4 linked regions of the Drosophila melanogaster genome follow. The protein of the gene in region 1 purifies or fractionates together with the protein of each later gene. This does not show direct contact. Each region holds a gene or a part of one and is shown in the gene's direction. Other genes may lie near its edges.

Region 1 (7,779 bases):
AATTATTGTCACTAATTGTAAGTGATGTTTGTTTTAATGATTTAAATTATTTTTACAGATATACTTCCCCCTATTTCTCTCAGTGTTGCTTGTTTACAAGGTTTAGAGTGTGCCACCCATTCACAATTTGCCAGCAAAGTCACTTGCTTCTCGCATTTCACTCACCTGTGCCATTTGCGGCTTGCGATTGAACTCGCGCGGATCCAAGCTGCTGGGGTCCAGGTGGATGACCAGGTTGCAGAGCAGCACGCCGTCGCGCAGCGTCATCGCCAGGATGCGGATCTCGGCGTCCGGCTGGGCGGCCTTGTGGTCGGGCGGAATGACCTTGCACCTGGTCAGCCAGGCGACGCACTCGCGCCACAGATCCCCGTTCACGCCGGCCACGCCCCCAAAACTGTTGCTGCTACTGCTGCTGGCCATCTCGCAGTGGTTGGGTTGGGTATTACTATATGGATTGGGATTTGGTTTTCGTTTCGGATTTGGAGGAGGGGTTGCGGGTGGGGCGCTGGCGTTGGCGGTGATGGTGTGAAGTGGGGCGCGGGCCCAACTGGCAAGTGTTGGAGGGGGGAGGAGGAGGGTGGGTGGGTGCTACTCGCGTCGCGTTAATGGACACAATTGAGACTCATCAGTTGGCCGTTGCGATTGGATTGGTGAACCCGAGCACAGATACACAGAGCAAAAACGGAAGGCAATGAAGAGCACAACACTAGCCAACACCACACACAACAAAAACAACGATTTCGGGACAATTCGAGCGTAGTGGGGTGTATCGCGTTCGCGAAGGGCTCACCCTGTGCACCGGATACGCGCGAACAGTGCTTGCGGCTGCCGAGTTGCTCAGAAAGTGCTCGCCACTGTGGTTTTAAAACTAATTTACTTTATTGCAAAATATTGCGTTTATCGAAGAGGAAGAGCATACTCGACTTCGATAACAGTCTGGGCGGCCGTGTAACCGCTTGCGGCTCCTTCGAAAATACCAACTGCATGTGTGGTATTTACGATATGTTAATAGCATTGTTACTTTGTGACGAAAATTAATTGTGCACCTCGGTATGCTTTAATATAACAAGTTGATGTAAATTAGTAAGTAGAGTAAATACACATGACATATATTGACTCCAAAAAAAAAGTCACCAAATAATCTTGCAGAAGAATATTAAGTAAATTTTCCCTTACAGTATTTGTTTTAATTTCGTAATTTATAATCATATAAAATAGTTCTACGATAAGGAGAATTCCTATCTGGGGGTAATTCAGCTGTCCTCGAATTTCTCAGGTAATATTTTGAATATTTCCGTTCAATTTTTATAATTAGTGCACAAGAAATTCATTATATTACAGACACTAGCCTTTCAGAGGAAGTAAGCAAGCAAAATTGTATGTCAAATGTAAATGTAAGATGTAAGTGTAAAATGAAATGTTTTTCATTGAAAGTCGCGTAAATATTCCAAATTCTCGTGCCCGCGGTGGCGCTTCGTAGTTGGTTTTTTCTCCTGCGCCGACGACGGTCACTTTAAAGCGGCGAGCAATAAAAAAAATGTAAATTGTGCAGCAAGTGAAATTGAAAAGCAATATATTTAAGTGTGATCTGTGTGTTGTGGTGTGTGGGTGTGTGTTCGACATACAGCTAATAGGCGAGCGGGCGACGGCGCCGCACCCGCCTCGCCACGCCCCCATCGGCGAATCGAAAAAGAGGCGAAGCAACGCGATGGCCTCCCAACATTCCAGTTGGCGTTTTGGCAAGCGGAGCAAATTACAATTACGCATCAAAGGTAATGTAACGAATGTGCTAATTGACATCAAACACGGCGACGGTGGCATCGGCATAATGGCGCAATCACTCCGTTCGACGTTTTGTCTCACATGGCTCGCCCCACCGACCCCCGCCATTCCATTCAGTTTGCATTATTTTGCATTACGGCGAGGCATAAGCATTACAGCAGCAGCTGTTGTTGTTGTTGTTGTTGTTGTGGATCTTGAGCCGACCTCATCCCCAACCCCACCTACCCCTCCAGCAGCCTTCTGTTTATTGGACTTGGCCAATAATTGGTAGCAAAGGGTTCTTTTTTTTGTTGACATTGATGGCAACTAGCAACAACAATAATATGTTGTTGAGGGGGGCGGGAATGAGCACACTGGCAGCATTGCCCATAACGGTAACGATGTAGCAGCGATGCAACAGTGATGTACGCATGTATCGACAGCATGGCATTCTGATCAACATTTCTCCTGATCTCCTCAGTGTTTCCTCCGTTATTTATACATTTGTTGTTGTTCTCGTTTCTATTTTCTATTTAGTTTTTATTTTTATTTATGTATTTTTTGGTTTTATTTTGGTTACTTTTGTTGTTGTTGCTGTTGCCATTTGACCAAATTCTTCGACTACATGTTGGCCGATTATTTATAGAACGGTCGCCACAGCATAGAGAGAGCCCCCAAAAACGATGACGCAGCACAAGCAACAACATAGACATTCACTAAACATCGACCATAACAATAACAGCGATAGCAACAGCAGAAACAACAACAATAACAACAGCCACTACTAGAACTACAAAAACAATAACATACGAAATGCTCAGCTTGGTTTCTTCCATTCATCGTGTCCTTCACTCTTTCGTTCTTCTTCGCTCGTCATGCTCTCTCCTTTCTCTCTCTCTCTCTCTCTGTCGCTCTCCCCCTTTTCCAACCAAATCCATCATGCAAGTACAGTTAGCTGTAACGACGACAACTGCAACAACAACGAAACTGTTATGACGCTGTGTTGTTGTCATTTCACGTGCACAGCCTGCGTCAGCGTCGGCAGAGACAGAGGCAGCGGCTGAGCTGATTAGCTTTCCACGATCCACGATCAATTTCACTTTGATGGCTTTCTAATGCAAGTCGCTGTGTGCATGCATGTGTGCACCTCCTCTTGACCGTAAAAACCCCATGTACTATGATGATTTGAACATGTGCATATCCGAAAAAGCTATTACTTGCAAATAATATTTATGTAATATTCAAGTACATCGATGTGGCCATATTATTCATTCATAAAAGGTTGTTTTAATTAGTAATTAGTGTGTACGGATCTGATAAGAAAAGCAATGAAACTTTTCCTCCATTACAGTTTCGCAGGATCCGGAGGACTTCTACCGCCTGGATCCACAGCGATCGGCCGCCGAAAATGCATTCGAAATATACTCGATGCTCTGTTTGGAGGAGACGCGGGACACGAAGCGCCTGTTTCTGCTCAACGCGCTGGCCTCGCTCTGTTTGGGGGCCCGAAAGGGCTCCCACCACAGCAATATACGCTTCACCACCGAGGAGCTGCTCTACTGGTAAGATGCCCGTTGGGGAAACCATTGTTCTTAACATGGCTAATTGATCGCCCTTAATTGCAGCCTTAGTGCCTCACTGGTGCACACCTTCACCCAAGTGCGAGCGGCGGCACTGCGAACGATCCGGTATGCCATTAGCACGCCCAATGACATCAAGACGTTCAATGCACTGCAGCTGCAGCACCTGCTCTGCCGCTCCATCGATCTAATGCTGAAGAACGACGACGAGCGCGTCCAGGCACTGAAGCTGGTCCGCAAGATGCTGGCCATCGCGCCGGAGGACATCAGTCCGGCGGTGGTGCGCTGCCTGGTCTCGCTGGCGGATAGCGGCATCGAGGAGAACGACAATCTGTTGCGTGCCTGCCTGGCCACCCTGGCAGAGTTCGCTGTGCTCAATCCGGCGCTGCTGATCGTCTGCGGCGGCGTCACCTCCATAACCCGCAATGTGCTAGAGTGCCACAATCCCCGCATCGCTGAGAGCCTGTGCGGCGTGCTTCTGTACCTGCTCGAGTGGCCGCAAACGAGGAACATCTGCGGTGTGCGGCTGGACTGCCTGGCAGCTCCTTATTGCGATTTCACCTACCGGCAGAGTATCGTCGATAAGAACAAGTGAGTGCCCTAGTGAAGATCCCACCAATCCCTCCTTGAATACTGCAGCTTGGCTGCAGAATACTACAAATGGGTTACCCAAAACAAAAAGCAGTTTATCAAGCCAGATGTAAGACGGATCCACTTCACTCATTAATTCGCCGAAAGTAATTTAATGTAGAGTAATTATATCTGCTGTTGAATTGTAACCAAATAATCGATGAACATCACGCCGTCTTTTGAGATTATCAAACAGCGGATGCAAACATGAAATTCTAAAATAGATAACTAAAGGCAGCACGGCCATTGACCTCGTTTCATGCTCTAAATGAGTAGTTAAATCGGGCGAAACACTTTTGGAAAATCGAACAAGACTATCCCACAAACATCTACTGAAGTTTTTTCACAAGATGTACTACTACAAGTTGTAGATAAGCGCTATCAGTTACATCATTCTTTTATAAATAAAACTATCTTTCAGGGATGCGCGCGAACTTCGCTACACCAGCTGTCGGCTGGCACTGCTGTCTGTGCTGCGCAGCTGGACGGGCACCCTCGAATTCTGTGATCCTAGCAAACCCTCAGGCCTGAAAGCAATAGTCGACGCTCTGTATTTGAACCAGATCGAAGTCAGAGTGAGTACATTCCCCTCTTAGTATCGATCTGAACTTACTGAACATGCAATTTGAACAGAAAGCAATATTGGATTTGCTGTACGAGCTGCTCACGCTGCCGCAGCCAACCTGGACGGATGACTATGCGGTGGCGTTGCAGGCTGTGGATCCGTCGGACTTCCAGGACACGTGGCTGCTGAGCAATGGTTTCGTGTCCGCCGAAGGGCGCTCCATTTTGCCAACGCTGGCGGCGCGTGCACCGAGCGTAGTAGAGCAGCACCTGGCGCTGATGCTGTACTGTTTCCTCGAGACTGGACTGCTCAATGCGCTCGTCGAGGTTGTGGTGAGCAGCGATCAGTTCGTCTCGGTACAGGCTACGGTGCTGATTGGCAAGATCCTGCAGCTAATGCACACCCACCTGCCCCCGGATATTTGCTGTACGAGTCCGGCACTGCCCACGCTGGTGAGTCATGCCACATTGGGGAACCAGCAGGCCAATGCAGCGGTGGCCGCTCTGCAAAACTACCAGAAGTTGCTGCGCCAGCGGCCGGCGTCGCGCAGCTTATTCCTAGACAGCATTATCCAGGGCGGTGCTCTCATCCAGACGCGACTGTTTCGTCGGCACCTCAACGTGCAGGAGCAAGCGGGTCCTGTGCTACAGTTGCAGGAAACGGCGGAGGCGGCGGCATTTGCGGTACCGCCTGTCACTCAGTTTCGCGGCACCCTCGATCGTTCTCGGCTGGATTCTGTCTCCTCCAGCGACGAGTCCAACTCACAGGCTTCGACCTCGTCGAGGTCCAGTTTTCGACTGAAGCGTAAGTTCCTTCCGCAAGCCTTATATGATAACTTCCGAGCCTTCAATCGGCTGCTGACAGACTCCCGTGTGCTGAGCCAAGCGGACGCGCATCTTTGGGACTGGGATGTTATTACCACCATACTGAAGGTAAACTAAATCAGAAAATATTATGGTATCTCCAGTTTATAAACGATTCTCATCTTAACATTTGCAGTCGAATTTAATCCGCAAACTGGACTACACCCAAGGAAAGTTCCTGAAGCGACTCGTGGACTTCTACAAGCCGCGCAATAATCGGTTCTCTCACCAGGATTTGGTGCCTGGACAGAGGCTGCCTACATATGTCAGTGCCGGATTGGATTTAATTGACGTCCTCCTGTCCAGCAATGAGGTAGATTCTCTTAATGATGGCCTAATTAGTGAAAATAGCCTAAAGTTACTCGTTAATTTGCAGCTTGAATGTATGCGCTTTATAACCGACTACTTTTCGGACATCAGCCAACAGCTGGCGGCCGTCACCACATCGAATCGTGCACACGACTGTCTATTTAGTCCACAGCATATGAATAACACGATGTGTCAGCAGTATTTCCTCTACATCGGACGCATGTGCCGAACCGTAAAAGGCATCGAAGTACTCAAAAATACCACCGTATTTGAATAGTGAGTGCTGAGTGATATGTACATAATTTGACTTAAATCTTGTCAAATTAGGTTAAAGAATCTAAAGATGTTAGACCAAAACGAATCGACTAATCGGAAGGGGTTAACTCATTCAATATTAACTAAACCTAGTAAGACCTTCGCTAATCGAGATTTCCTTAATTTCAGCTTGATCAATTTGGTGCGGGTGACGGACCACGTCTGCTATGTGAAGCTAATTGTGTCCGGCCTGAACTACAGCTACGAGAAGCTACCACGTCAGGTGCTGGAAAAGGCGCTTACGTCGGCGAAGACACGCGGACGTCTGTACTCCACCCAGTTCATGGCAGTGCTGCTGCGTGCCCGTCTGCCTCACTTTGAGGTATGGGGCATTCCATTGATTATCAACCAGACGCGGGATTCGGACCGTAGCGTGGGGCTGGCAGCCATGGATGTACTGGAGGAGGCCTGCCACGACAAGTACTACCTGGAGGAGATTGTCAGTCGGTGGCCCAATCTAACGCATCGTGGTGATGCAGGACGGCTGCTGATGGCCCGCTATTATTCACTGCCCCGCGGCCTGAACAGTACGATGGCACGAATCGAGGATGAGATCCGCTACTGGCGGAATGGGTACAACAAGCGCTACGTGCTCCTCGTGGAAGCCGACACCCACTCAAGCCTGACGCTGCACATCCGCAATGAGGATGGCTACTACTCGCGTCGCAATTGCAACCAGAGACCACAGACTGTACCACCAAACGTTGCACCTCATCTGTACGGGCAAATGGCACAGACTGGCCAGGGTATGACAGCTCTGCGGAAGCACGGAGACCTGCCGCAGCTATTGGAACTGCTCAGACGCGCCAAATGCACGGACGATGCCGAGTGCCTTGAACTGAAGGCCGCCATTTGGGCACTGGCCCACGCCTCAACCCACTCCAATGGAATTGAATACTTTGTCGAACTGAATGCCAGGTAAGTCACATACATATCACATAACTTCGAATCGTGTCCCACGAATTTGAAAGAGTATACACAAAAGATGCAAGATGTTACAAAGTTATTTATTGTTTGTAGACTATACGAGAAGCTTATTGTTCTGGTGACCAAATGCGAGGTATATTCGGTGAGGGCCACCTGTTTTAGTGCCTTAGGTCTTATCGCAGGCACACAGGCAGGTGCCAATATCCTTTTTAAGTTGAGTAAGTGTCCCATCACAAATGTGTTTGAAAAACTGATTGTGTCCTAATTGAAAAATGCATGTTTTGCAGACTGGCTGAGCGTGCGACATGACAAGAACACAATGTGGCCCGTGCATCAGCCGGAGGATTGGATGTCCAGCCAGTACACACCGGTGCGACATTACTACGAGGACGTGCCGGCGGACAATATGACCATGATGGATGACTATATAGAAAGATTCTACGAAACGGGCTCAGACTTTTGGCACATGCTCGCCGATCAGACTGATGCGAGTGGTGGTGGTGGGGGTGTAGCCGGCACAGTCGTCGGTATGCATCCTATAGTGCAGGATCCAAATGCAACGATTACGACCACGGACAGTGTTCGCACCACGACCGATGATGTGCACCCCAGAATGTTGGTTGGAGTGGCTGCCAAATCAAAGACTTTGCCAGAAGGTAGCAATCTGCGTCAGGGCAAGCACCAACGCTCGCTCTCCGAATCGAAGACCACGGATGTGATCAGCTTGTTGGGCAGTGGTGTAGGTACGATGTCGGGAGCTGTTCTCTACCCAACGCCGTATCAGCATCGAATACGCTACAACTCGTGCACGGATTCAAACACTTCCGGC
Region 2 (8,952 bases), 7.6 Mb from region 1:
TGCGAATGTTGGTATTACCAATCGGTGAACCGCACGAGCTGCTGTTGGTGTAGTCTGCCCGAGAATTCCCCTTAACCGCCCTGGTCGAGGTCCAGCCCTCACTCGGTGGACTTGCCCCTTTGGGCACCTTGGGCTTCGACACTCGCTTTCCAGTGACCGTTAAGGCAGGCGTCTGGGGCATTACGTTGGACGGGTTGGCCAACCCAGCCTTGCCTTTCACCACCGCCCCTTGCTTCGCCACCGTTTTGCACTTCACAACCGCCACATGTTCCATCTCCGCCACCTTTGGGACCGGGCTACCATTGCTGCGAGGCCTGGGATTTTCGGAGCTGGGTATAAAGAGATCTCGCTCTACGCCAGTTTGCTTTAGGCGTTCGAAAATAACTTTCAAAGAGGTTTCGGTGGATGTTTCTTTCATTATGTTCGTCTCATCGGTCAGAGGCGTATGGCTACTGAAGCGCACTGAACGACGCGAATGCTCCGGAGGCGAATGGGTGGACATAGAACGTTTTACGATGCGAGCGTCCTTAAGTGATTTGTGCAAGGTATGATCAGCTTCCGCCTGCTTCTTGGTGGTATCCTCTTTTTTATCTTCAACCTATGGGGGAAGATACAAGAGGGAGAGAAGATCAATGGTTAGTAAATCTGTGAAATTTCCGACTCTTAGCATAAGATTTTTTAAGGGTCTCCACCTGGTTGTATAAGTCTGATGGTTGCATGTTGGTTGGTGTTGTACTGGACTTGGATGTTGTTGCAATACCAGTTGCATTTGGACTTTTTTTTGCGTTCAAAGGGCTTTTAATGGCTGCATCCAATTCCCCCTGGGAGGCGTCGAGTGGCGACGTCATTATCGGCGTTGTTAGAGACGGCTGCTGCTGCTGCTCCTCAGACTTATTAGTGATATGAGCCGGCTTTGTTGTACCTGCCGCTGTCTCCTCTTGTGGTTCCACTCTCGGAAAAACCTTTAGGCCACTCCATGGCAGTACACCTGGCTTGGCCGTCGACTATTGCCGTAGTGTGCATGTTGTGTATTGTTTGGTTGAGATTTGAGATAAGCACAGATACGATTTCGTGTTGAGAAATACAATAATATAGAACAAACAAAACGATGTCCGCACAACATAGACCTCTGTATACCAGTTACCAAGTTTGATTGGAAAAATAGTCAAAAAACAGTTTATGGGGATCTAATAACCTTAAGTTCTTTCGATTTATGCAAATTTCCGTCCCAAGATTATTTACAATATTTTTATGTTTACATAAGTTTACTTTACAGGTAAAAGTAATTTGAGTATAAGTTTTAAAATAAACTTATACTCAAATTATATTGATTAATTATGTGTATTTGTGAATAAATACCGACCGAAAGGGATATTCAAATTAGCCCATTTGTGGATTGAACATGAGTATACAGAGGTATGTTCTATAAGCTTGAACAGACAGCAGCAGGCCAGCTCGTGTCCTGGACAGCATCGCCATCCCCTCTACTCACCAGCGGTTCTTTATCCGAGTTGCTTTCGATGTTGGATATGGGTGTTAGCTTTGGGAATTCTCCAGTCCATCCCATTAGACCTAAATCGCACGGTTCAAGATCGTCACGATGCGTGCTGGGCTCACGATGACGTTCACGTTGACGGCCACGGCGTCTGCGGCGTTCAAATTGACTCTTGTCATTTAATGTCTTTGAAGTCTTAATCATAGTACCTAAGTGGGTTTAGATGAGATGTGTTATTATGCTACAGATGCTGGTTATTTATTTATGCTTACTTTTTTTTCCCTGCTCAGTGTTCGAGTCTTTAAAGCTAGAGCCATCCCGGTGAGTCGAAAGATCCACGTTTGTGGAATTGGCATTTAACACCAGCAAGTCGCCCTCAATAATGTTTTGTCCCACGCCGGCACTCTGTTCACCAATGGAACCTTGTTCATCTATAGCACCGCCTGTGCTACTTTGATTGGCGCCGGAACTAGGTCCTGCAGCTGTAGATGATTCGAATGCGGAATCAACGTTACCGTTACCACCGGTATGCGACGATGAATTGGTAGCGCTGCTAGAGTTGCCAGCTAAGGGCTGCTTGTCACACGGCTTTGACGGCCCAAAATTGTCATCGGGCACATCCATGTCGCTCTGGAATCGATGTGCAAAAAAATAAGCTAAGTTTCTAGATATATGTTGTATATGTTCTCATAAAACATTAATAGTGATCACTTATGGAACCGATAGGCAAACAATTCAATGGAATTTCGTCTGTCAAAAATATTGACCCTGAAGACCTGGGTTGTCACTTTTTCCACAACCGACGTTTTATTGTCAAGTCATTTAATTTAAAAAGTATGCGATGTAAATTCTAATCAGAGTTAGCCCTTTTTAATACAATACTTTACAATAAACGAATTCTGCCGGTTAATCTGCACACAACTCACACACACACACACACACATGTAAATTTATGCGAGTGTCAGGGTTGCGCGGCTTCGCGGTTTGTTTTCTTTACGTTTCTGCTTTGATCGCCACAATTGTTGATCGAGAGGAAACCTGACGCACACATACGAAAAAACTGAATAGCGGGTTCTTGCACTTTCGCCGGCACAAAGTACACAGTTTTTCTCGTTTAAGTTAAATTTACTATCACTCTTTCGGACCGTTTCGCTTTGTTACTGTGTTTTCAGCCTATGCTTTGCCGCTTCTTCGGCGTATCGCGAACTTGCGTTGCAAGTAAGTGTGTGTGTGGATGCGACGCTTATTAAATCTGCACCGGATTGTTCAGCTAACCGTGTCAAAATCATGTAGAACTCAACAATTTTGTTTTAATTTTTGAGCTTACCTTTGTAAAAGAAATAAAAAGTTCACTTGAAAAGACACTGAACACGACAACTTCTTTCGGAAATATAAAACGAACCTACAAGCGTACTTAACTTGTCGACTTCCACTCACACAATTATTCGGTTAGATGGAAAATCTCGACAACGATTATTCAATACTATCGAATGAGTTGTAGGATTTTCTAACACATGTAAATACCAAATTTTAGCATATGATATGTTTTAAAACTTACCGGCATATACATTCACTGAGATCACAGATTTTATTCAAACGAATGTCTTAACATATATTTATATATATATTTATATTTATCTCAACACTTAAATACTAAAAGACACGTTTATCGAAATTGCCATTTTTGGAGACACCTAACGGGTTTTCCATCGCACAGTTTCGTTCCATGTGCTGTCATCGATAGTCCAACAACAAAATATCGCGTGCAATCATCCCTGGCGACACAACTGGTTGTACATATGTATATAGCGACATTACACACCTACATATATACACCTACATATTGCCAGCTCTGCACGTGAAATCCGAGGGCGGCTGTTGTAATCTGTGATCAAATCAAGTGAGTCCAAGCGCTAAATGCAAGTACTATAGGCCATACAATAGCATCTCTTTATCCCTATGTGTTCACAGACATGTCCAAGGCCAAGGGTAAGAAGAAGGAGCGCTTTGATGACGACGAGGAGCAGCTGGAGAAAGTGCAGGAGAAGAAGCCACCGACAAGCAAGAAGGGTGGTAAGAAGGGAAAGCGAGGAGGTGGCGGCGGCGACTCCAGCGACGAGGATGTCACGACCAGGAATCGGGACAACGAGGATCTGGAGAGCATAGCCTCATCGAATCAGAGCAAACAGCAGACTGCCGGCAAAAAGCAGGCCAAGAAGGGTAAAAAGGGCAAGAGGAATAATGACTGGAGCGACGAGGATGAGAAGCCAGAGAAGAGTTTGCCTGCCAACGACTTGGACGATGAAGATGACGACGAGGCGCCTCTGGCATCCAAGCCAGCTGCTAAAAAGCCACAGCCCAGCAAAAAGAACAAGAAGAACAAGAAGAAGAACGACGATTTCTCGGACGAAGATAAACCGGAGCTGGACTTGGACGACCTGGACAATGAGGAGGATGAGGTGGAAGTGGTTGCTGTCAAGCCAGCCTCCAAGAAGTCCAAGAAGAAGCAGCAGGCTCAGCAAAAGAACATGTTCGCCATGAGCGATGATGAGGAGGATGAGGTTGCCGATGATCTGCCAAATGACAGCGAAGAGGAGGAGAAGGAACAGCTGTCCAACAAGGCGGCCAAGGAGTCAAAAAAGGAACAGCAGAAGCAGCCCGAAAAGGAAGTGGAGGAGCAGAAAGTGGAGCAAGTCCTTAGCGAAAAAGTGGCGGCAGTAAGTCTCAAGGAAAAGACACCTGAGCCGGTACCCAAGGCCGAGCCCGAACCCGAGTCTGAACCCCAACCCGACGAGGAAGCCGATGCTGAGGTAGATTCCAAGTTCGAGGAGAGCAAGGAAGCCAAGGAGAAGAAACTCACTCACAAGGAGAAAAAGAAGCAAAAGAAGCAGCAGGAGTACGAACGCCAAATGGAGCTGATGACAAAGAAGGGTGGTGCCGGTCACTCGGACTTGGACAACAATTTCACCATGTCGCAGGTGCAGAAGAGCGCTGGTCAAAAGGCGGCTCTGGAGCAAGCCGTGGATATCAAGATCGAGAATTTCACCATCTCAGCCAAGGGTGAGTCATCATTGCTATAACTTTTCGTTGTGCATTATCAATTTTAAATCCAAACATTTTTTTTTTTTTCAGGTAACGATCTATTTGTGAACGCCAACCTATTGATTGCACATGGACGCCGTTATGGTTTGGTGGGTCCCAACGGGCACGGCAAGACCACCCTGCTCCGGCATATTGCCACCCGTGCCTTTGCCATACCGCCCAATATCGATGTGCTGCTTTGCGAACAGGAAGTCGTAGCTACCGATAAAACGGCCATCAATACAATCTTGGAAGCTGATGTGCGTCGCACAGAGATGCTAAAGAAGGCCGATGAACTGGAGAAACAGTTTGTCGCTGGCGATTTGACGGTGCAGGAGGAGCTAAACGATACCTTCGCGGAACTGAAAGCCATTGGAGCCTACTCGGCGGAAGCCAGGGCACGAAGAATCCTTGCCGGTTTGGGTTTCAGCAAAGAGATGCAGGACAGGCCGACGAACAAATTCTCCGGAGGCTGGCGCATGAGAGTGTCCCTAGCAAGAGCTCTCTATCTGGAGCCCACGTTGCTTATGCTCGACGAACCGACCAATCATTTGGATCTTAATGCTGTCATTTGGCTGGACAACTATCTGCAGGGCTGGAAGAAGACCCTGTTGATCGTGTCCCACGACCAGAGTTTCTTGGACAACGTCTGCAACGAGATCATACATTTGGATCAAAAGAAACTGCAATACTACAAGGGCAACTATTCCATGTTCAAGAAGATGTATGTGCAGAAACGCCGCGAGATGATCAAGGAGTACGAGAAGCAGGAGAAGCGCCTGCGCGAGCTGAAGGCCCACGGTCAGTCGAAGAAGGCAGCGGAAAAGAAGCAGAAGGAATCGCTCACACGCAAGCAGGAGAAGAACAAGTCTAAGCAGCAGAAACAGGACGAGGATGAGGGACCTCAGGAGCTGTTGGCCAGGCCCAAGGAATATATTGTCAAGTTCCGCTTCCCGGAGCCATCGCAGCTCCAGCCACCCATTCTGGGTGTCCACAATGTCACCTTCGCCTTTCCGAGCCAGAAACCGCTGTTCATCAAGGTTGACTTTGGCATTGATCTAACTAGTCGAGTGGCCATCGTGGGACCCAATGGTGTGGGCAAATCAACCTTCCTCAAGCTGCTGCTCGGTGAATTGGAACCGCAGGAGGGTGAGCAGCGCAAGAATCACCGACTTCATGTGGGCCGCTTCGATCAGCACTCAGGTGAACATCTCACGGCAGAGGAATCGGCTGCAGAGTACCTGCAGCGTCTGTTCAATCTGCCCCACGAAAAGGCGCGTAAGGCATTGGGTTCCTTTGGTTTGGTCAGTCATGCACACACCATCAAGATGAAGGATCTGTCCGGTGGTCAGAAAGCCCGTGTGGCCCTCGCTGAGCTATGCTTGAGTGCGCCGGATGTACTAATTCTCGATGAGCCTACGAACAATCTGGACATCGAGAGTATCGACGCCTTGGCGGAGGCAATCAACGAGTACGAGGGTGGCGTGATCATCGTCTCCCACGACGAGCGTTTGATCCGTGAAACAGGTTGCACTCTCTACGTAATTGAGGATCAGACGATCAACGAGATTGTTGGAGAGTTCGATGACTACAGAAAGGAGGTTCTCGATTCGCTCGGCGAGGTGGTCAACAATCCTAGCGTGGTGGCCAATGCGGCTGTGCTGCAATAACCCTCAAGTTGCATACGGACTTGGAGTCCATGCAACTGGTCATCACTCGTCAGCTGGCTCGCCCTATGTTAATTGTTCAACTGTTGAATTGATTATCTGCTAGTTAGTCTTTTTATACCAACATATATACAATAACAAATTGTGGAAGTAAATGTTATTACACAAGAGCGTTTAAGAATGTGTTGTTTATGTTATTAAATTGTGGGTATTAAGTATTTGTTGTAGAATATACGTGGAACTGGTTAAAACACCCGTAAATTGTACTCGTAATATATGTAGATAGATGATTTATATTTAAAGTTAATGCCAGCTCTGAGTGTTCTCCAAAAAAATGGAAAAAATAACATTAGAGTACATAATATTAATTCTTAGATATAATTGTGGACATCCTAGCCGCTGCGATAGAAGGCCTTGACATTGTTAATCAGGTGGCTCAATCCATTATAGCCATCCTTATCGAAGTCGATGTTCTCGCCGCCAAACTCGATGACCTGCAAATGAATAGTGGGCAAATGGTTTGGGATCATTGAAATAAATGACTCCATGGATTGAGTGCACCCACCTCCTTGGCCCTGAGGGTGTCCGCACCATGGGGCACTCCAATGACCTCGACCCAGGCCCCTTCGGCGGCGCCCAGCTCACCCGGCAGATTGATCTTTAGCTTGTGGTTGTCTGTGGAACTGGCCAGCAAAGTGGATCCCGCGACGCTCTCCACGCGAACCATTATGCTCACGGTTTGGCCGGAAAACTGCTTCAGCATGCCGCCGTTGATAATCGAGCGTGGATCAAAGGCATCCATAATAACTCCTCAGTTAATAACGTTCAAAAAACAGCCAATTTCAGCAGAAAATGAAATGCCGTAAACAAGAAAGAGCGCCAATAGTTATCGAGCGTGCTAATCGATAATAAAATTGCATGACGTCTGCTATCGAAATTATTCGAATTTTGTAGCAAAAATATTTATGGATTTATTGTAACATCAAAAGTTATTACATTATTACTGTGGACTTATGTATTATAATAAGAATTAATAAAAATAATTTATAATAGAATTATAAAAAGACCTGATAGATTACATGTATTACAACAATGTTATCGACAGCGAACAAGATGTTCGAATCTTTCTGATATTTTGTCCGGTGTGAACGTGCGAATTTTAGTACGACAACCAGTTACATCGATGTATCGATAGTTTTTAGACTGGCCAATGTTTATTGTTATAAAATAAATGTTACAAATAAACAATTAATCACTTAGTATAAACAAAAATAAGTGCAAGCAGCAAGTGCGTTGTTAAAACGACCGCCGCCCTCCGAATTTCCTTATTGCGGGCATTAAATCGCAACAACAACAACGCCACCAGCAACAGCAACAACAATAAGCAGGAGATTCAGATTCGCAACGCAATCAAAACGTAAAAAAAAAACGAAAAATAAAAAACTACAAGGCGAAACGCATAAATAAATAGGGAAGCAAATAATAGTAATAATAAGACTAAAAGCAAGTGGAAAAGTACGAAAGCGAAAAGAGAAAACATATGTACGTTGCGTGAGAGTGACGTGTGTGTGTGTGTGTCAGTGAGCGAAGGAGAGTGAGCGAGAGAGGGGAGGCGAGCAAAAACAAAAACAACAGCACAGCATAAGCGAGACCTTGAAAACTTTAAAAGCAGCAAAAAAAACAAGACAACAGCCAAAAATAAGAAACTAAAAGCTGCAAAAGTAATAAAAAATATATTTTAGCCGAAAAATTTCCATAATAACAATTCTAGAAGTGCGGAGCGTACACCCTGTTATGGAGAGTGACGATTTTCATTTACCGCAAGGCGCCAATTAAAGGGGAAAATCCATAAATCGAGGATTACAAGTGGAAAACAAGGAGGCAGTAACTCCAGAAAACGCCCAAAAAGTCCAAAATGGCAGCACCAGAGACGGGCAACACGGGCTCCACAGGATCCGCTGGCTCGACAGGATCGGGATCGGGATCGGGATCGGGAAGTGGGAGCTCCTCAGATCCAGCGAATGGACGGGAGGCCCGTAACCTTGCCGAAAAACAGCGACGGGATAAGCTTAATGCCAGCATCCAGGAGCTGGCCACCATGGTACCACATGCAGCCGAATCCTCCCGTCGCCTGGACAAAACCGCCGTCCTTAGATTCGCCACCCATGGCCTGAGACTTCAGTATGTCTTTGGCAAGTCCGCTTCCAGACGTCGCAAGAAAACCGGCCTCAAGGGAACGGGTATGTCTGCCTCACCTGTCGGAGATCTACCCAATCCCAGTCTGCATCTAACGGACACTCTAATGCAACTGCTGGACTGCTGCTTCCTCACCCTAACCTGCAGTGGCCAAATCGTTTTGGTATCCACCAGCGTGGAGCAGCTATTGGGTCACTGTCAGTCCGATTTGTATGGCCAGAATCTACTGCAGATCACGCATCCCGATGATCAGGATCTGTTAAGACAGCAGCTAATACCCAGGGATATAGAGACCCTGTTCTATCAGCATCAGCACCACCAGCAGCAGGGGCACAATCCCCAGCAGCACTCCACTTCCACGTCGGCCTCAACTTCGGGCAGTGATCTGGAGGAGGAGGAAATGGAGACGGAGGAACACCGTCTGGGTCGGCAGCAGGGAGAGGCGGACGATGACGAGGATCACCCGTACAACCGACGAACACCCAGCCCGCGGAGAATGGCCCATTTGGCGAC
Region 3 (9,271 bases), on another chromosome or scaffold:
CAATGATTTGGTGGTATGGCTGTTGCTATTATACCATAGTATAGATGACATCAGATTGTAAATTTAGGAATTACTCTTAAAGATTAAAAAAAATCCCCTTTACACAATGAATGATTCACATATTCTGTGTTCGAAAACCGGAAATCAGAACCATTCCGGTTCAAAATTCTCCTTTTATTACAATTATTTCAACAGGGTTAATAAAATCTTTATTTAAATGCTAAAACAATTTCATCTTTGTCAATTTGTGCTCATATTAAGTAAGTTATCCCATTGATTATTTGCGGAACTAGCTAACGTTTCTTTGTGGTTAAACAATTGGGCATCAATTATGACATGCTGATGGCCCTTGAATTCTAATGTTAAACGAACCATTTCGTTAAACACTTACAAGGGACAAACGCTGAAGTGGCCGATACATTTCGGACACTTCTGAAGGAGACCCGGGAACGCATTTGGATTCAGGGACATGAAGTACACCCTTACGGCTTCTACGATCTCACAAGTGTGATCCGCAATAACCGAAAGTTGCACGTCCTCGAAGTTCCGTAAAATGTACAACAAAATGCGGTAAAGAACGGATTCCGTTGATATAAAGAACTTTAGCACCGAGGTGAGGTCTTCCAGCATGGTGTCCATGAAGGCTCTGGTCAATAGCATTATATGGTCAAAGACTTTTGGATCAAGCTTATTGGCCATGATGTTGATTAGGCTCTCAAAACTTTCAGCATTGATCACGTGCTCAAATATGATTTTTCCGTATTTCTCCAGTACGAAAACAACACCGCCCACCAACACAGAGCTTAGCTCCAAGGCGAACACGCCGGCGGCATAGGTACTGGGTTCCTGTCGAGGATGGGATGTGGGCAGCGGTCCGATTAGACGGGAAACCTGATTAACGCCGCCCAGTTGAAGGCGACCAGAACCCGCATGGCTACCGGGAATGGGCTGACTAACTTTGCCTAGGACATTCCCTCCTTGGTTATGTTGTACACTAGCTCGCAATTCCGCACCCGTCGTCTGCACATCGCCATTTAGTAAAAATCCTTTGCCATCGGGTGCGAATGAGTATCGCACGCCCTCCTGATTCAAGTTTTTGTTGATCTTAAAAAGATCATTAAACTCTTGTGGCGAAATTTCGTTTACGTTGCGTATAATGTCCAGTTTGCCGCGAGTGTTGCCTTGCATCCGAACGGTCTCCTTGGCAGCCTTGTCAAAGGTTCGCCTGATGGTAAAAAAAATACAAGTAGAAACTCTTGTTTACGACAGAATGTATCTCATTGAACGTTTTTTACCGCTGCCTATTAGAAAGGTTTTTACGATAGTCGGCAATATTAGCATTGCTTGTCTCATTAATTATGGTCGAAGCCAATTTAAAGTTGTAGACGCTGTGCGTGAGCAGCACCAACGAAGCGGACAATTGCAAAACATCCATCGCAACTATTTCGTCACCGTCTTTTGCTTTCTGTGGAAGATCATAAATTTCATAAGTTTAATCTATCTAGCCTAATCTAATCACAGTCTAAGTTTCGAGACTTGCCAATATCAGATCCAGCACACCATTGGCAACTCCAGTGCCCGATACCACAATCGAGGATATGTTCATGCTATTCACAGTCAGTTGGGTGATCTATGTGAGTACATATTTAACATTTTTATTCCATTGTTGATTGCGTGGGGGGGGGGGTTTAAGGACTCACCGCTCCCACCTCGCGTCCAGCATTTGTGGCCGTTGTCAAGACTGTGGTGGCCCCAGCCGCTGCCAATCCCACAGTGCCACCAGCCACGCCCAACCAGTGACCACGCGCTTCGCGGTCCGTCACATTGATAGACTGCTCATGTTGGCTGCGATCGAATAGCTTGCTGCCAGACCGCGATGCGGCGTATCCAGCACTGGCCAAACCTACTACTCCCGCTGCGCCCATCAGCGGAGCGGATACGGGCAGCGTTAGCAGGGCAGCAATGGGCACACAGGCAGCAAAAAATCCTCCGACTGCCGACCCAGTATCCAGGTAGCCCAGCACCTTCCTGTTGGTCGTGCCCGCCGGCGTTGTGTACTTATCCAGACGTACTTGATCCCTGACCAAGCGGTAAATACCCTTCTCTGGGGCCACCATCACTCCGGCAGGCAACTCGTTGGTGGTCACATACATCTCCCAGTTTTGGTAGACCCGACCAAGCTCGTCGATAAACAGATTGCAGCAATTCGAGCTGACGCTGCTGGTGCCACTACTGCCAACTGAGTATTAAATGGATCCATTGATAGATAGATAGGAAATATATTGTAAATTGCATACGTATGCAAAGGATGACTCACCGACGCATCGACGGGCCCGAAAGACTGGGTGCACGCTGAAGACTCTGGCGTCCTCGGCGCGATTGACGTCCGTTTCGTCAGTTACCACCATTACGTAAATGATCGCCGTCAGCGATTGACGGTTGGTATACTTTCCTGGAAAACAATTGTACGCAGTTAAGGCAGCGAAAAAATGTACTATACTATATACAATCTGTAAGTCCAACTCACGTTGCTGCCAAACGGAATCGAAAATGATCTGACGGGCGCGCTCATTATCTGCGTTGACCTTCAGCCGGATTTTTCTGTCTTTTTCAGTTTCCGTTGCAGTTTTCGGTTCCGGAGAATCACGAATCAATTGACAGAGTTTGCCCCTTAGCACGTCATGTTGTTCATGGGACAACCTGTAAGGGGTTACGTCATTACCCCAAATACTTTGAATTCAAAATTCTAATGCGCAGTAGCAGTACTTACAGATCCCAGATTATCTCTTCCGCGTAGCCGAGCGACTCGGCAAAGTTTTGCTGCACTTCACGTGCGGTGCGGGTAACTTCATGGTTTCCTAATCTATTCGCCATCCCTAAGTTGTCACCTTTCCGTTGCCACAGTTGTGCTGCTAATGGAGTTGTGCCACGGAATCACCAGCTTTTAAGTTAAGGCGCACACTAATTGAACGATCGTACTCGAAATACCGAAAAGGCAAGACGGCAGAAAAGCTCTCTAGGGATCATACCTTTATATGAATACCCCGTATTCCACCGTCACCTTCTTTGGTGAGCAAAATTTAAAAAGCTGCTAGCGTGCTAAACCCAAAATGTAACGAGACGATGAGCTCATGCTAATCAGATATTTGCTTTGTATTTCTAGCGAGCACATATTATATTATAAAAAAAAAAAATATATATATATATATATATAGGCAAATCCATTTAAAAATATACATTTACATTGAAAACTTGCTGACAAAAGTTTTGCTTGCAAACATTTTTAGTACTTGGTGACCTAAAAAATCAGATTCTAAACTTAGTACTGCCAGCTTTGGCAACCCTAAACTATGAATGCTGCCTCCCGCCTATCGATAGCCGTGCAATCGAACCGGCTCCGCTCCAGCTACGCCTATCGGTTCCAGCACGAGCCAAACAACCCTACGTGTCAGTCTCATGCGTCGGTGTAAATACAGAGTTTTTTAAGTTCGCGGCGTGCCAATCTCGCGATATCTTGCAGCAGCAGCAGCAACAACACCAGCTCCTGCCCCATTCGAATCTCGCAGATCGCCGCGTGTCGATCGAGAATCCACGGGGCGCAGCGATTGTAGCGATAACTCCAACGCGACAGCAACATCAGCTGGATCTGCCGGAGGAAAAGTGCAGGGGAAAGCGGCGGCAGAGAAAGGAACGGAACGGAACGGAGCCAAAAGGCAGTGCCAGACAAAATACAAAATACATATAGTCGCTGTCGGAGATGGCGGGTCAAAAGTTTCAGTATGATGAGAGCGGCGGAACGTTCTACTACTTTGTGTTATCGTTCTTGGCGCTAATATTGATACCGACCACCATTTACTATTGGCCACGTAAAAAGAAACAAGGTAAGTGCCGCTTGCCAGCCGATTTAAATCGCACTCTCTCCGCTCTTGTTTTTTAATTTTCCACCTGCAGCTGTGCGCGTGTGTATGTGTGTAAGTGAGTGCCAGTAAGGCGAAGGCATAGACATACATGTGATTACCACGCTCTCCTGCTCTAACCCTCCCGCCGCCACCAACAAACTAAATGGACACGTTCCAATAAGTTATTCTAACAACGTCAGCTCATCGTCTTCGTATGGGTGAAAGCTGCGCTGCGATTACCGCAAGTCGAGCTCTCTTCGTTTTCCAATTGGGACAGCGCACTCAACGCTCCACAAGCGTCCATGCGTCGCTAATATCGTGATAACTTACCTATCATCGTGATCGGTGGAGGAGGAGTGATTATGAGCAAGTTACCTTTGACTTATCGCGATCATGCTGTGCTTGTGCACTTTGCACACACGCTCACTGACCAATCGGCTGCTCTCTCACGATTTTCCTCTCGCGAGATTTTCATTTCTGTAGCGCTGGCATTCCCGGTAAAAAAAAAAATGCAATATGCGTAGACAGACCTCAACTAATTTTAATCGTAATCAGGTTAGCAGGTACCTGTAAAGATCGTTTTTTTTTTAAATCATTTTATTAGCCATCTTAAGTGAAAATGATAAATTTCAAATATTTTAAAATAGCCTATATAATCCCCGTACTGACCCAATTTTCGTACACATACTTGCAGATAACAGCAAACTTAAAGAGGAATGTCAGTGCGCCGACTGCCAGAAAAAGAAGACCATCTTGGCCAATGCCGAGCCGTACAGAGCTCTCACGTCATGGACCATCAAGCTGACCATAGTGCTGGGGTGGGCCCTACTGCTCTTCCTCACGTACCGCGTCTCGCAGTTCGACTACGAGATGGCCAGCTTCGATCCCTTCGAGATCCTGAATGTGCCGCCGACGTCGTCGCAGGCCGAGATCAAGAAGGCCTACTACCGGCTGTCCAAGGTGCTCCATCCCGACAAGGAGACGGGTGACGAGAAGTCCTTCATGATGCTGAGCAAAGCGTACCAGGCGCTGACCGACGATGTGGCAAAGGAGAACTACGAGAAGTATGGTAATCCGGATGGACCGGGTGCCATGTCCTTTGGCATCGCCCTGCCCTCGTGGATTGTGGAGAAGGAGAATAGCGTTTGGGTTTTGGGTCTGTACGGCCTGGTCTTCATGGTGGCCATGCCCTCGGCAGTGGGTGTTTGGTGGTACCGCTCCATCCGCTTCAGTGGCGACAAAGTGCTGCTCGATACCACTCAGATGTACTTTTACTTCATCCACAAGACACCGCACATGCTGCTCAAGCGGGCACTTATGGTTCTGGCAGCCAGTTTGGAGTTTGACAAGCGACACAACTCGCAGGTCCAGGAGCGGCAGTCGGACAATGACGAGGTGCCGGCGGTGAGTGCATTTTATTGGAATTTCCATTCGTTGTTCGCTCACTAATAACACTTCCTTTTCGAATACAGCTGATTAGACAGCTGCCCAATCTGAATGAGAAGTGCAAGGAGCATCCGCTGTGCCGCATGTACTCCATCAAGGCTCGCGCCATCCTGCATGCCCATCTCAGTCGCATGCCCCTCAATCCGGAAACTCTGGAGCGCGATCGCCAGTTTGTGGTGAAGAAGTGCCCGTATTTGGTGCAAGAAATGGTCTCCTGCGTTCACCAGCTGGTCATGATGGCCTATGCCCGACGTGTGCCCCGCCTGCCCAGCATCGAAACGATTGAGAACTGCATGAAAATGTCGCCGATGATTATCCAAGGCCTGTGGGAGTTCAAATCGCCACTGCTGCAGCTGCCCCATCTCACCGAGGACCATCTGTACTTTATGAACAAGAAGAGGCACGTCAAGAACCTGCAGCAATTCGCCCAGCTCAAGCCGGAGGAGAGCCGTCAGCTTCTGAAGAACCTATCTGACTTTGAGTACGAGAACACGATGAAAGTGCTGGGCAAGATGCCGCTGATTGACTTCTCCATTCGCTGCGAGGTTATCGACGATGAGAACACCAATGTGGTGACCGCCGGGGCCATAGTTACGGTCACGGTTACGCTGGAGCGCAAGGACATGAAGACGCTATTCGGTGACACAAAGGCGCCTGAGAAGCAGGGCATCAAGGATGAGACCAATGAGGAGGCTGCCGGTGATGAGGATGAGGCTGCTGCCGCTGCGCCGGTCAAGAAGGCTTCTGCCTGGGCCAAGCCACGTAAGGGTGGCAAGGGAAAGGGTGGTAAGAAACCAGCCCAGAACCAAAAGAACCAGAAGAAGGTGCCGGCCAAGGCTGCGACAACAGCTACGATCACGGCATCCGAGGATCAAGCGGCGGCGGGTAACTCCGATGCCGAATCGGAGGCTGGAAATGCGGATGGCAGCGATGTGGAATCGGCTGCCGGCAGTGGCAGCGAGGATGAGGAGAAGGGCAAGAACAACTCCTCGCTGGACGACGACGATGACGAGGAGTGGGAGCGACTGCAAGCTAAGCTTAACAAGAGGGAGCGTCTCGAGGGCAAGTCTCGGCTGTCGCACACCGTCCACTGCCCCTACTTCCCCGAGGAGAAGCAGGAGTACTGGTGGACCTACATATGCGATCGCAAGTCGCGCACCCTGCTCACAGCGCCCTATCATGTGACCAATCTGGTCGAGAAGGAGGAGATCCAGCTGAAGTTTACCGCGCCGCGCTGGCCGGGCGTCTACACGTTCACCGTTTGCCTGAGATCGGGTGAGTTTCTAAAAGAGTTTGGATTGCATAGTACATTGGCATTCGAAGGGGGGATTCTCACACAATGTTTCCTCTGTTTCAGACTCGTATTTGGGTATGGATCAGCAGCAGGAGCTGAAGTTGGATGTACAGAAGGCTCCCGCACCACCGACGGATCATCCTCAGTGGGATCTGAGCGAATCGGAACCGGAGCACACCGATCAGCAGGAGAACCTGAGCGACTATACAACAGATACGTCCGATGAGGAGGACGGCGAATAAATCCACTGTCTACATGGACAGTGCGACGGACGGACGGACGGATGGATAGACGTCCTGAACCCCAATCAACCTCAACCTCCTCTCTAATTCACTGGGACGGAAGAGAAGCCTCTTTGTTTTCCTTTTAGTAAATGAGTTTCGCGTGGCGCGTGGCGGAGGCACACCAATGCGAACCCTTCCTTCGCATTTTTACTAGTTTTGTAATGGAAAAGACCCCGAACTAGTGCGTAAATAACTATAACTTCATTTTACCGTGTACTGTACTAAACATAATTATAATGTACTGTATATTTAATTATTTGGATACAAGAACTAAAAGTGAGACACGTAAATACAAAAGTCTATTGATATTACTACTCTTTTGTTGTGTTATAAACTGAGAAAGAAAAACCCACGGGCTTGTTGCTACTTTCGCTCACTTTAATGCTGAATTAACATAAATTTACTGCACAATTTGCTGAATTTCTAGATTAACATTTTATTCAATTAAATAAATAGCATCACAATTACTTTAATTTAAACCATTCAAGTTATTGACCACGCCTAAACCTTAGCAATTTTTAAGTTTTTTTTTTTATTACATTTTTGCTAAGCCTTTGGATAAACTAATTGCTTACAGCTTTTAGAATTTGAATATATTTTAGCGCAAAAGTAAATTAATTTTGTAATAAATAAAAAACGGTTGTATCATTGTTAGAGTATCGACACATAAAATAATAAATCAGCAAAAACAAGTGAGAATTGCAACAAGCCCGAATAGTTTGTGGAAATCATAAAAATAATTTAAATCAAAGTTGGCGCTGCCTCTGTCTGCGCTGACGTCGACGCCTACTGCGCAGCCGCTGCCCGCTCGCTGTCCAATAAGAGATCCGATTGGGAATCTGAAGTCTTCTTAGCTGATGCTGCTGTTGTTGTTGTGGTCGCTGGTAACTTCTTTCATTGTTGTTGTAGACAGCAGCGAGTTTTTTGTTGTTTGTTTTGGGAAAGGAGTAAAAATTGTAAATAAGTCACATAAAGGCCTAAACTAGGGTTCATTACCCGTCACCAGACTCGTTATTAGTGGGTTCTTGTTTCTATTTACAAAACATTTTTGGTATTATTTGGCTAAATGTGCGTTTTTTTATGTGCGTGTGTGTGTATGTGTGCGTTTTGTGCATTGGTGTTTGTGATGCGGATGTCAGTGCGTTTTTTGTTGTCGTTCAATCGATTTTCTTTTACTCTTCTTCGCTTTCTTCGGAAGAGGAATTCTCGCCATCCGGTTTGCTTTCTTCATTTTCGGGCGTGTCTTCTGTCTTCGTTTCTGCAGGTTTTTCCTCGTCGATTGGTTCTTCCTCTTTGGTTTCCTCTACAGATCTTTCGGCAGTCATAACTTCTTCGGGCTTTTCTTGAGCCTCATTTTCATTAGGATTTTCTTTAATATCTTCAAATTTTTCGTTTTCCGTACTTACAACCTCGGATATTTCAGTACTACCAACTTCCTCGACCTTTTTGTTGGTCTCATTTTCTTCGAATTCATCTTTCACATCCTCCGATTCTACAACCTCATCATCTTCGGTACTTTTAACCTCTGATTTGGTAGCACTATCCGAGTCCGCGGACTCTTCTGTTGCATTTTCCTCGGTCTTTTCTTCAACATCCTCGTCTTTATCATTCTCATTGACTTTGGTGCCTTTGGTGTCATTTTCCTCCGTTTTTTCCTTGGAGCTTTCGGCCTCTGATTCTTCAACGGCATCAACTTCCTCGGACTTTTCTTGCGTCTCGTTTTTCTCCGATTTTGTATCCCCATCATCATTGGTGGCCTCAACATCTGGTTTCTCAGTAGTGTCAGCATCCTCCGATGTTTCTGCGGTCTCCTCACTTCCCTCTAATTTATCTTTAACATCCTCGGATTTTTCAGTTTTATCATCCTTAACATCCTGGGAGTTTTCCTTATCATCTTTTACAATCTCGGATTTTTCATCCTCATCATCTTTAACATCCTCGGATTTTCCAACCTCATCATCTTTGGTACTCTCAACCTCTGATTTTTCCTTGGTATCCACTTCCTCAGACTTTTCTTGGGTCTCACCTTCAGCGTCTTTACGGGGTAGAAATTTTGATTAGAGTCTAGGGACGATCTTCCTACTTTACCTGTAGTTTTCTCCTCCGTTTTCTTGTCCCCAGATTCTTCGGTTTCAGTCTTTTTGTGGGTGGTGGGATTAGGGGTGCGAATGTTTTGTGGGTTGTTGATTGGTGGTTTTTCGTTTTTTTTTTTTTTTTGGGGGGGGGGGGGGTAAAGTGGAAGTTGTATTTACAAGATCAGACAATCGCTAGGCTACTACAGTGCAAGAGATCATGCCTTTGTTAGCTCCTATAAGCTCTAAAAGCCTAGAGTTATGGTTCGGTCATGC
Region 4 (3,533 bases), on another chromosome or scaffold:
TTTCGGCTGTCTCCTCCGTTTCGGCTGTCTCTTCCGTTCCGGTCGTCTCTTCTTCAGGTGTGTCTTTGAAACCCTGGCCATTTGCCATGGTTACATCTATCACGTCATCGTTCTTTTTCGGCTTCCCATCTTCATTTCCCTTAGCGTTGTTGTTCTGTCCATGTTGGTGGCTCTCGTTTTCCTCCTTCGCCTGGTCCAGCACATAATGAAGTTCTTCGATGTCGTCTTCTTCGCCAGCAGCTGCACCTGCCCCGGTGCCCTCTTCCGATCCCGTTTCCGATCCTCTTCCCGCTTCTCCATCATCTCGGTTAGACGTTAGCTTGGCTTGTTGCTGATCCAATGCTTCCATCATATTATCTGCAATCACACGCTGTCAGCAAAAAACAATAATAACATTTAAGAAAAGAGGAGAAAAACAAATAATCAGAGCGCTATTAATTAAACGCACTTTAGACAAAAATTGTTATATTCATTACCTTTGCATGCCGTTGGCGTTGAATCCGTTCCGGTTCTCGCTATTTTTCTTGTATGCTTTTCGTTGTTCTTTACGCAGCTGAAAGCGAAATGAAACGAATTTATTATTACGAGATATTGGGTTTGGTATTTCGATAAAAAAAAATTAGAATGACAGCAAAGGCTAAATGTTTATGCGGGGGTATACACGATAAATTTTTCAGAATATTAACGGCATAAACATTTGTATTGCACAAAAATCGCCGGTCATTGGTTGATCTTGCAGCCCTGGTGCAAACGAAAAGTCAAAATAATTGAAAATACCAAAATAAATGTTAACAAAATGGCAACGTGAGAGCCACTTACTGCTAAAAATAAACGAATTTACTTGAAATATTCTTGGAATGGACACTACAATCAAAATGTACAGCAATTATGCACGTTTATTTACCTGCTCTCCTCCTATGCGTTGCTGTTGTTTTGTCGGTTCTGCTCAGCGTATTATTGCTGTTGTTGTTCTTGTTGCTGTACCCTGCTTAGGTAGAATTTTCCCACAATTTGTAGGCGGCAGAGGGAGAGAGAGTGGGAAGGCAAGAGAGGGAGAGAAAGAGCGATGAATTTTACGCGCGCAAACAGCAAGGAGAGAACGTAGCCAAAACAACAACCGATTTCACGGAAGTTCGCTGCACAACTGAACCAAAAAGAGACCGAAACCGAGAGAATTTGCCCAGCGGATTGGATTGGACGAGCCGAGACGGCTCGGAAGGAGAGCGGGGCGCCCCCACCCCACGGCGAACTTATACAATTAACGCCTGGTTTCAATTGTTTATAAACTCGCAGGACTCGCATACGTAATGCAAACAGATTTCACAAGTGCACCCAATTGCCGTTGGGCTTAGTTTCGACCAGAAGCACAATGATATTGTCGAATTGCTTTTTTGCCTTTTTGCGCGTCTCTTGTGCGGGGTAAAAAATGTTCTTCTTTTTGAACGTCGCCGTCCACGCTTTGCATTTTACGTTCTGCTCGATTTGTTCGCGCTCTTTTTCACCGTATTTTAGTAGCTGCACATTGGGTAGCGTATGGGGATTGGATATTTCACAATTTGGCTGCGGAGAGAGCTCGAATAAAGCGTGAAAAACAAGTTTTTAGCAATATTTTTCGCCTTTTTTACAGCCATGCCATTGAAACACGCGCAGAAGCTAGTGATGGACGATAGTTCGATAGCTGGCGCAGCGTGTTGGTGTGACTGCCAAAAATGCAACCGTGTGACAGGCATCGCTGTGCTTTTCCCTTGCGGTTCAATGTAAGCATATCGATACTTGGCCAGTACCAGCAATTATTGTTAAAATCTTATTTACACGGGCTATTTAAAAATATTATCTTGAGTAATTATCTTAATTTTAAACGAACCATTATAGCACGTCCAGTATCACAGTGGATCAATCATAACTAATATTCGTAGTTAGCTATCGATAGTTTTTTCCATCCCTGAATCGAGGTTCAGTGTCATACCGATTTGACAAGCTCTTTCCGTTTCCTTTTCGCGTGAACGTCCAACATGAGAGCCAAGGGATTGGTTAGTATTTGCCAAAATAAATGATTTATACAATCATTATTTTAGTTTAAAATGCGTGCAACAGATAAGCAAAAACATAGCCTATTTGGCGTAATCGTTGGATTTTTTAAAACTCCGTAATTTCTGTGTAAAAAACGACATTGTCGTGGACAATGTTTGCCGAGCCACTTTTCTTAAAAATGTGATCCTATCTAACTCACAAAAGTAATTTACATAATTGTGAGAAACTATTATTCAGTACGAATTTATAACTAACTATTCAAACATATTCAATATAATAGAAATACAACTGCTTTGTGCCGCCGAAAACATAACCTTCAAAAACCAACAGCCATGCGTGTGTTTGTTTGCCTGCGACTGTTCGCATTTGTTTACAATTGTTTTATGTAGACCATTTAAACTAATCCAAATCCCATTTGCAGTTGAAGGAGTACGAGGTCGTGGGCCGCAAGCTGCCCAGCGAGAAGGAGCCCCAGACTCCCCTCTACAAGATGCGCATCTTTGCCCCCGACAACATCGTGGCCAAATCCCGCTTCTGGTACTTCCTGCGCCAACTGAAGAAGTTCAAGAAGACCACCGGCGAGATCGTGTCCATCAAGCAGGTGTACGAGACGTCGCCCGTGAAGATCAAGAACTTCGGCATCTGGCTGCGTTACGATTCCCGCTCGGGCACCCACAACATGTACCGCGAGTACCGTGACCTGACTGTCGGCGGTGCCGTCACTCAGTGCTACCGCGACATGGGAGCCCGCCACCGTGCCCGTGCCCACTCCATCCAGATCATTAAGGTGGACTCGATCCCTGCCGCCAAGACCCGCCGCGTGCACGTGAAGCAGTTCCACGATTCAAAGATCAAGTTCCCTCTGGTCCAGCGTGTCCACCACAAGGGCAACAGGAAACTGTTCTCGTTCAGGAAGCCCAGGACCTACTTCCAGTAGGATTCTCCTGCATCCTATACCTATGACTTAGTGGATTTTTTCAATAAATGAGAACGTTGAAGAGTACACTAGTTGTGAAAGCTTCTTTATTTGAGTTCTCCACAGGAGTATATGACAATCTTTTGGCTGGGAGTGCCCGACTTGGAGCCACAACGTTCCATCTTGCGCACCACCTCGGCGCCACTGATGACATGGCCAAAAACGACGTGCTTGTTGTCCAGCCAATCTGTTCTGTAGAACAAAAGAAATGTAATTAGTAGAAGGAAATATTTCAGTTAAATTATTTATTGTAAAACCAGCTTACTTTGTGGTACATATAAAAAACTGCGAGCCATTTGTGTTGGCGCCCGAGTTGGCCATTGAAAGAGTTCCAAAACTGTTGTGTTTCAGATTGAAGTTCTCATCGTTGAACTTTTTGCCATAGATGGACTTGCCGCCGGTGCCATTGTTGTTGGTGAAGTCGCCTCCTTGACACATCTTTTGAATGGAAAGAATGCATAAATGAAGAAAACTATGCCAAATTATTATCTTACAAACTCGGGTATCACGCGGTGGAAGGAGCAGC

Evidence for each region.
Region 2: the proteins of rictor (region 1) and CG1703 purify together in Drosophila melanogaster (affinity purification with mass spectrometry, with the first as the bait; one large-scale study listed by BioGRID). This does not show direct contact.
Region 3: the proteins of rictor (region 1) and Sec63 purify together in Drosophila melanogaster (affinity purification with mass spectrometry, with the first as the bait; one large-scale study listed by BioGRID). This does not show direct contact.
Region 4: the proteins of rictor (region 1) and RpL18A purify together in Drosophila melanogaster (affinity purification with mass spectrometry, with the first as the bait; one large-scale study listed by BioGRID). This does not show direct contact.

What each region holds. Positions count from the first base shown.
Region 1 is NC_004354.4:19,254,980-19,262,758, reverse strand, and holds the start of rictor (rapamycin-insensitive companion of Tor), read left to right. Parts: upstream 1-1,518; 5' UTR 1,519-1,708; coding exon 1,709-1,772; intron 1,773-2,915; exon of another isoform or gene 2,916-3,014; coding exon of another isoform or gene 3,015-3,042; intron 3,043-3,112; coding exon 3,113-3,323; intron 3,324-3,386; coding exon 3,387-3,932; intron 3,933-4,392; coding exon 4,393-4,546; intron 4,547-4,604; coding exon 4,605-5,468; intron 5,469-5,535; coding exon 5,536-5,712; intron 5,713-5,775; coding exon 5,776-5,984; intron 5,985-6,152; coding exon 6,153-6,941; intron 6,942-7,043; coding exon 7,044-7,168; intron 7,169-7,237; coding exon 7,238-7,779. Other genes in the region: Vav guanine nucleotide exchange factor, read right to left, coding at 166-420.
Region 2 is NC_004354.4:11,608,710-11,617,661, forward strand, and holds CG1703 (uncharacterized protein), read left to right. Parts: upstream 1-3,217; 5' UTR 3,218-3,395; intron 3,396-3,466; 5' UTR 3,467-3,468; coding exon 3,469-4,555; intron 4,556-4,627; coding exon 4,628-6,246; 3' UTR 6,247-6,419; downstream 6,420-8,952. Other genes in the region: CG2247 (uncharacterized protein), read right to left, coding at 1-598, 693-1,004, 1,493-1,704, 1,768-2,119; RPA3 (replication protein A3), read right to left, coding at 6,636-6,737, 6,809-7,045; Met (Methoprene-tolerant), read left to right, coding at 8,159-8,952.
Region 3 is NT_037436.4:7,357,151-7,366,421, forward strand, and holds Sec63 (secretory 63), read left to right. Parts: upstream 1-3,410; 5' UTR 3,411-3,757; coding exon 3,758-3,881; intron 3,882-4,488; exon of another isoform or gene 4,489-4,593; coding exon 4,594-5,303; exon of another isoform or gene 5,304-5,371; coding exon 5,372-6,620; intron 6,621-6,702; coding exon 6,703-6,881; 3' UTR 6,882-7,216; downstream 7,217-9,271. Other genes in the region: pst (pastrel), read right to left, coding at 388-1,225, 1,296-1,465, 1,541-1,630, 1,701-2,239, 2,318-2,700, 2,771-2,874; Sh3beta, read right to left, coding at 8,096-8,958, 9,012-9,060.
Region 4 is NT_033778.4:17,545,906-17,549,438, reverse strand, and holds RpL18A (ribosomal protein L18A), read left to right. Parts: upstream 1-1,976; 5' UTR 1,977-2,012; coding exon 2,013-2,030; intron 2,031-2,452; coding exon 2,453-2,968; 3' UTR 2,969-3,033; downstream 3,034-3,533. Other genes in the region: MESR4 (misexpression suppressor of ras 4), read right to left, coding at 1-352; cyp33 (cyclophilin-33), read right to left, coding at 3,055-3,199, 3,273-3,445, 3,502-3,533.